Macaca fascicularis: one gene and its partner. The protein of the gene in region 1 purifies or fractionates together with the protein of each later gene. This does not show direct contact. Links are inferred from orthologs where the notes say so. Each region holds a gene or a part of one and is shown on either strand. Other genes may lie near its edges.

Region 1 (3,749 bases):
GGAAGCCATGTGGGTACTGGGGAAAAGGGCAGTGCAGGCAGAGAGAACAGCTACGGCAATTGCCCTGGGGTGGGATCATTCTTGGGGTGCTGAAAGAAGCATGTGAAGGTCAGTGTGGCAGGAACACAGTGAATGAATAGTAAAATTAGCAGGAAGTGAAATCACAGGTAACTAGTTTTCTTGTTACCAACTCTAACAGGCTGAGACCTCATGGATCTGGTCATAATTGTATTTATGTATAACAGTATAGTCCTTCTAGATTTTAAGCCTTCAAGGAACTCTTCTGTCTTGTTCACTGCTGCATTCCCACTGCTAAGCACAGTGCCTGGCATACAGAAGATTCCCAATAAATGTCTGCATGAATGAACGATACAAAGATCATTTTTTGAATGCTTATTATGTGCTATACATGGGCTTTGCAACCACATTTCTTCAGCCCCAGCTCTGAGGAGGAGGGGAGATGAGTCCTTAAGTATCATTCTAGGCAGCCATGGGGAAAGGGAGAAGAGTGTTGGAAATGGTGGTATTTTTACACACTATCCTCATGGAATGGACTTACTCTGTGAGGAGAGAGCTCTTACGATCAATGAACTTGAGAGCTTCTGCCAGTGTCAACTCCAGGAAAAAACCATATCCCAGGGCCACATAGATGCGTGAAGTATCTGGGCTGAGGAAAGAGAGGTTAGAGGAAGTGCGGGGGAAGTCCTTATCACTGTTTAGCAGAGTGTATGTTTTGCTCCCCACCCTTCCCCAAATTGAGGCTCTGGGAAGGCAGGGATTTTGTCCTATTTTATTCACTGTCACATCCCCAGCGCCTAGCTTATATCCTACTGGGATAATAAACCTTGTATAGTGCCTGGTACATAGAAGATACTCAAAAAAATATATGTTGCATGAGGGAAGGGGTAAGCTGAACCCTGTGGGCTCAGAGGGGCGGGTAGACACTCACACCACTGTGTCAACGAAGAAGTTACAGCCCAAATCCACCTGCATGTATAACTCCGAGTGCTTAGCTTCCTGTGGGGCCAGGGAAAAAGAGGTAGGGGTCAGTGGTGAACTCTTAGGTCAGGTGACAGGTTTGGCTCTGGAGTCTCTCTTCCCATTTCCCTCCCTTACCCACACACACCAAAAAAATGATACCCAACCCCATAGTCTTTACCTGGAGTCGCTCAATGACATTTCTCAGTTGAAGGTATTTGGCCAGCTGCTCATATACCTTGTCTCGATGGTCCAGCACCTTTCTGATGGGATGAAAGTACAATGGTGACCAATAGGCAGCCCCATTCCTCCTAGTATACCTCATATCATGACCCTCTGAGACTCTCACGTCACCATACGCTGAAAAGGCTTTTTAGTGTACAAGTTAATTTTGGGCTCTGGGTCAGACTGCCTGGGTTTGGATCTGGGCTCTGTCCTTTATAGATGTGTGGCTTTGGCAAGTAAGGAACCTGTTTGGGACTTGGTTTCCCCATTTATAAAATGCAGATGACAGTATTACCTTGTAGAGTCATTAGGATTAAATGAGCATTTACTCAAAGCATCTAGAATAATGCCTACCAAATGGTAAACTCTCTACATGTTAGCTATTATTACTATTACTACACTCCCAATACTGAACTCCAATCATAATGTCCCATCCTCACCCTAGAAAAATCCTCCATCCCTTTTAGGATGCTCATAGTCCTAGTTCTGAACACCTTACTTCTTGCTTAGATTAACAAAAATTGCAATAATATTTCTTCATACTTAACCTCTACTATGTTTCAGGCATCCATGCTACTAAATTATTTACAAAGATGGGACATATGAAAAACTCAAAACCACTGTATGGGGAAGGTTCCAGAAAACTCCCCATTTCACAGAGAAGTTTATAGGGCACAGAAAGGCGAGGTATGACGTATTCACAAGGATGAAGAATGGCCGAGCCAGGATTCGAACCTGAGAACTGTGGCTCCAGAAAACAAGCCCTAATCCGTCAAACATCGGAGGCCGCGCATGCGCTGACACGCCCCCTGCTATGAACGCCACGTCCCAGCCAAACTGCACCCCGGATATCATCACCACTTCACGCTCCAAGGAGCGCGGGGCCGGACTCTGAACGCCTCGCCCACCAATCCAAAGGGTTGGCCCTAACTCTGAACGCCCCACCCACCACGTGGAATGTTCCAGACGCCCCGCCCTCTGCACTGTCACTCACCGCAAGTCCCGCTGCAGCACGTCACTGATGAAGGTCTCGTAGCGCAGTACTTTCTCCCCCGTGGCCTCCACCGCCCGCCGCTTAGGGGGCGTCGCCATGATGGGCTCCTGGGGAGTGGGGAGGGGGAAGACCACGTTGACCGCTCCAGTTTGGCCTCACACACAGTTCATCTCTACCCTCTCAACGCTGGGAATCGACTTGTCCGGCTCAAGCTGGGGGCTCAGCCTTCCGCCCCTCCCAACTCGGGGACCCGGCCACCCAGGGACACCGAAGCGCGGCCTTTACCTCAGGGCCGCCAGCAATAAAAACGGTTGGTAGGAACCGCGGCTTCCGGGTGGCGCGGGTGAATGACGTAAGTGGCAAGCGCGCTGGCCAACCAAATAGCCAGCTGGGGAAGACGGGCCAAAGGGGAGAAGAGAAGGGCGGGGCTTCACGGAATCCGAGGAGATCAAAGATGACTAGGGCGTGGGAGCAGGCCATCTGGCAATAAACCGGCCAATGGGGGACTGCAAAAGCGGCGCGTGGAGCCTATGGAGACCGTGCGTCGCTGGTGAGGGTGGGATTTAATGGGATTTGGCGGTTCTAAGTTAGGCGCGACGCACAGGTAGAGGTAGAGAGAGGAAGTGAAGAGTTTAATATTTAAAAGGACCTAAGAATTGACTATGGTTCTGGTCTATAAGGAAGATCCCGTGTGATCTGTCGGCTTGGATATTGATTTGTCATACGGGAGGTTTGGGTTTCACTCCTGGCAATGGGACTGAGTATGAGCACTTAAAAGGTTTTAAACAGAGACAGATTTTCTAAAATTCATCTTTGATAACTCCAGCTCTGTACCTGCAACCTATAACTGAGGCTCAAGCGGAAATTGACAACGCACTATATCTAATCACCTCGTTTGATAGTCAAATGGAGAGGGTGGCTGAAGTCCTCTGCAGAATATTGGCCATCTTGTAGTTAGGCATAGTTCCCATGTTTTTATTTAAATGGTAAGGTTTTTGTGAATTTATTCTTATGCACTAGAGTGACTGAGTGAATTTGTTTTTCAGTTTAGATTTTTTTTTTTTTAAATTATACTTTTAAGTTCCAGGGTACATGCACACAACGTGCAGGTTTGTTACATATGTATACATGTGCCATGTTGGTGTGCTGCACCCATTAACTCATTAGGTATATCTCCTAATGATATCCCTCCCCCCTCCCCCCTCCCCACAATAGGCCCCGATGTGTGATGTTACCCTTCCTGTGTCCAAGTGATCTCATTGTTCGGTTCCCACCTATGAGTGAGAACATGCAGTGTTTGGTTTTCTGTTCTTGTGATAGTTTGCTGAAAATGATGGTTTCCAGCTGCATCCATGTCCCTACAAAGGACACGAACTCATCCTTTTTTATGGCTGCATAGTATTCCATGGTGTATATGTGCCACATTTTCTTAATCCAGTCTATCACTGAAATGCCTTAAATTCAGGTTAGATTTTCAAACAAGAACTTATAACCCAGCAAGAATGGGCCTTTGCCTGGAGAAGAATCCAGACCATGGGATGAATCTCCAAAT
Region 2 (3,724 bases), on another chromosome or scaffold:
TGTTGTTGTGTTTTTTGGTCCAATAGCATGCTAGGAGAAAATGTAAAGTTCTAAGGTTGAAATGTTATTACTGAATCTTAGTATGTTTGTCTAAGAAAATAAAGTGTTTTTTAAGAAGCCCTTATTGCATCTTTTAAGTTTTCTAGGAGCATAGTTTTGAAAGCTATTTTGAAGGAAAAAAAGAAAAAACTCCCGAGTACTCCCAAGAGGCGAGGCAAATACGAACTAAAGGGCTTTTAAAAAGCAAAGTACTTCTTTTATGAAAAAAAAATTCCAAAAGGTGGACCTGAAATCAAAATTCTAATCATTAGGGGATTTTTTAATGTCTCACCTCACAAAAATTGGGGTGCAACACAAGTTTATCTATAGGGGGTGAAGATTCAGATGCCCTCCATCCCATTTCTCTCTAGGAGTTGCAGTACCCAAAGTGATCAATCCAGCTAGTGAAATCACTGTATCACACGGAGGCAAGGCAACGGCGGCCTTCAGGAGGAGACCATCGCTTCTCCCGGAGGCAAGACTCAGCCCCAAACCCTCAGTAGTGGCGCGGGTCAGCCCGGTTCTCAGCGCAGCGCGCTATAAGGCGAATAACACCCCAGCGCGCGTGCTGGCGGCATCAGAGGAAGCCATGTCTTCCGATTCCTGCTCGCCTAGGTGTGCAGGCTCCACCACCTCGCGTGGCCTAGTCGGCCCGCGGCACCAAGTCCGCCGCGGCTCACGGCCAACCGCGAGCCCTGGCCACCCCGAACCTCTCCACTACTCCACTTACCGGCCAGATCTCTCGCCTCTCCCAGCCGCCACCACCTCCTCCGGCCACTTAGCCCGCTCTTCTGGCCCCGCCCCACGCCAGCGGGGTCCGCCTCGCGCTACGCGTAGAAAGGCGGGGCCTCGGGGCGAGACGCCGGAGCTAGTCCGGGTTCCGCAGACTACTCTCCCCGATGGCGGACTGTACTGGGCCGGGTTCTGCCGGCCGCAAGGCCGGGGCTCCTCGCCGCTCTCGAAAAGCCACAGGTAGGAGCAAGGATGTCTTCTCACTTTGGGACCCTGAAAGCTGGACCCCGATCTCGAGTTCTAAACCGAAGCGCACGGGCGATCCTGAAAGGCTGCTTCAGGGGAGGGGTTCTCCCAGGTAGAGAAGGCCGAAAGCTTCCCACCGCCGTCCGCTCCCCCTGGGAAAGATCTCCTGGCCGGCCCTCACCCCTTTACGCCAGTGTTGCAAGATTTCCCTCACGCGGGCCATGGCCCCAGCCTCTGAGAGAAAGTACAGTGGAGGCGCCGGGAACCCAGGCCTAGGGTCCCCGGGGTTCGGGGCAAGTGACTAGGGCAGCGTTGGCAGCTGGTCTTGAACCTAGGACCGGTCCTCCTTTCCAGATTGCTTGGGTGCCCCGTTCTTTGAGGTGCCGGACTCCCCTCTTCTCCCAAAGAGGACGTTTGGCAGACGGAGAGAGAGGTTTCCCTAAAAAGTACCCAGATCTCAGATTTTCAGGAATGATTAAGCAACTATGATACAGAAGAAAATTCAATCCCCAAAGAGATACATTTTAACCAAGAAAAATTAGACAGTAATCAATTTGCAAAAACAAATTGCTTGCCCTTTACCTATTTCATTTTGATTTACACACGATTGGACATAAAATAGGTGGAAAAGAAGAAAAATTCGTCTAGTTTGTTATTTGTGTAGGAATCTATCTTGTACCTAATGTGTTTGTGTAGGCCTGACCTACTGCCACCATGTGTAGCTTAACTGCGGGGATGCATTTTGAGAAATGCGTTGTTAAGCGATTTCATCCTTATGTGACCATGATAGAGTGCACTTACACAAACTTAGATGGTATAGCCTACTTACACACTAGGCTATATGGTACAGCCTATTGTTCCCAGGCTGCAAACCTGCACAGCATGTTACTGTACTAAGTACTGTAGGCAATTGTATATCTAAACATAGAAAAGGTACGGTAAAAATACAGTATTTTAGTCTTATGAGACCGCTGTCTGTATGCTGTCCGTCGTTTACGAAATGTCATTATGTGGCACATGACTGTATTTTTGTTGTAGGTACTAAACAGACAACTACTTTGAAACAAGAAGATGCTTCTAAAAGGTATGACAGCTACATGGACAACTACAATGGCATATCTACTTATCTCATATTACTTGTACCAATTTTAAAACTAATAGTTACCTTTTTTTATTTTTAGAGAAAATTATCATGAGAGGGAAGGGAAAGATCTGGGAAGGCCTATAAATTCTCACATAGACTGTTAACATTCCTCTACTCCAGGCTTTAAGAAAACCAAACTAAGCACTCAGACTGCTAGTGAAGGCGTGAGTGTCTGTAGAAGGTGTTTGTTTTTCACCACTTCAGGTACACTCCCCTTTTATTGCTTTATATGCCAGAGACTCACTCTCCAAGTTTCTCTGTCACTCCAAGAAACCTTTTCTGTTCTTTGTTACATCAAGTCCAGATTTTCATCAAAAAGCTGTCCTGGCCGGGCATGGTGGCTCACGTCTGTAATCCCAGCACTTTGGGAGGCCGAGGCGGGTGGATTACGAGGTCAGGAGATCGAGACCATCCTGGCTAACACGATGAAACCCCATCTCTACTAAAAATACAAAAAATTAGCCAGGCATGGTGGCGGGCGTCTGTGGTCCCAGCTACTCGGTAGGCTGAGGCAGGAGAATGGCGTGAACCCGGGAGGTGGAGCTTGCGGTGAGCTGAGATCGCGCCACTGCACTCCAGCCTGGGCAACAGAGTGAGACTCTGTCTCAAAAAAAGAAAAAAGCTGTCTTGTACTAGTTCTGGTTCTCAAAAGGCAAGATATTACCACATATCACACAAAGTTTTAGAAGAGGAATAGAATGTGAAGGGTATTAAAAGTATATGTAGCTATGATTTTCATTTTGTGAAGACTTATTAATCTTATATTGACTTTGGTCTTAATTTACTCATTCTTTCAAAAATTATTTACTGAGTATAAGATATACCAGACCTGTGTTAGGCTCTGAAGATATGGTGAACAGAATAGACACAATTCTTGTCTAGTGGAACAGAGGAATAAATAATAGTTAATTAACATAAACACATAATTACAAATTGTGATAAGCACTATGAAGGAAAAGGCTGTGATGTTACGAGAAAGAATAATCAAGTCTAATTTAGTTGGAAGTGGGTGGCAAGGAGGTTAGTTGTGAGTTTTCAGGGAAAGCCTTATGCTGAGACCTGCATGCTAAGTAGACATTAACCAGACAAAGAGTATATAAAGATTTCTGTATGTGCAGTGCAAAAAGTAGCTTGTTTCCTTTTTGAAAAGTATTGGATCAAAAGTAACAGCATTAGAAAATAGAAATTTGGCCGGATATGGTGGCTTATGCTGGTGATCCCAGCACTTTGGGAGGCCGAGGTGGGAGTATTACTTGAAGCCAGGAGCTTGAGACCCGTCTAAGCAGCATAGTGAGACCTTGTCTTTACAACTAAAAAGAAATAAATATTTTTATTCAAAAAAATTTTTTAAATATGTTTAAATTTAAGTGGCAAAATAGTGAGTTAGGTTAGTGTTGTATTTTAAAAAATGGAATATTGGACATGAAGCTTATAAGTAGATTAACTTTCTCTTTCAAATTTTAGGAAAGCAGAACTAGAAGCAGCTGTGAGAAAGAAGATTGAATTTGAAAGAAAAGCTCTACATATTGTTGAACAGCTTTTAGAAGAGAATATTACAGAAGA

Evidence for each region. Proteins that work in one complex are often made in the same cells at the same time.
Region 2: the proteins of UXT (region 1) and RPAP2 purify together in Homo sapiens (affinity purification with mass spectrometry; 4 studies listed by BioGRID and IntAct, counting the BioPlex papers as one, with this or other methods). This does not show direct contact. The link is inferred for Macaca fascicularis from reciprocal best matches to the Homo sapiens genes UXT and RPAP2.

What each region holds. Positions count from the first base shown.
Region 1 is NC_088395.1:47,757,477-47,761,225, forward strand, and holds the start of UXT (protein UXT), read right to left. Parts: upstream 2,550-3,749; 5' UTR 2,508-2,549; coding exon of another isoform or gene 2,296-2,507; coding exon 2,198-2,295; exon of another isoform or gene 2,189-2,197; intron 1,242-2,188; coding exon 1,160-1,241; intron 1,018-1,159; coding exon 950-1,017; intron 668-949; coding exon 560-667; intron 326-559; exon of another isoform or gene 188-325; intron 1-187. Other genes in the region: uncharacterized protein, read left to right, coding at 2,294-2,507. UniProt on the Homo sapiens protein: Involved in gene transcription regulation. Acts in concert with the corepressor URI1 to regulate androgen receptor AR-mediated transcription. Together with URI1, associates with chromatin to the NKX3-1 promoter region.
Region 2 is NC_088375.1:142,136,146-142,139,869, reverse strand, and holds the start of RPAP2 (putative RNA polymerase II subunit B1 CTD phosphatase RPAP2), read left to right. Parts: upstream 1-914; 5' UTR 915-938; coding exon 939-1,011; intron 1,012-2,055; coding exon 2,056-2,101; intron 2,102-3,625; coding exon 3,626-3,724. Other genes in the region: GLMN (glomulin), read right to left, coding at 332-400.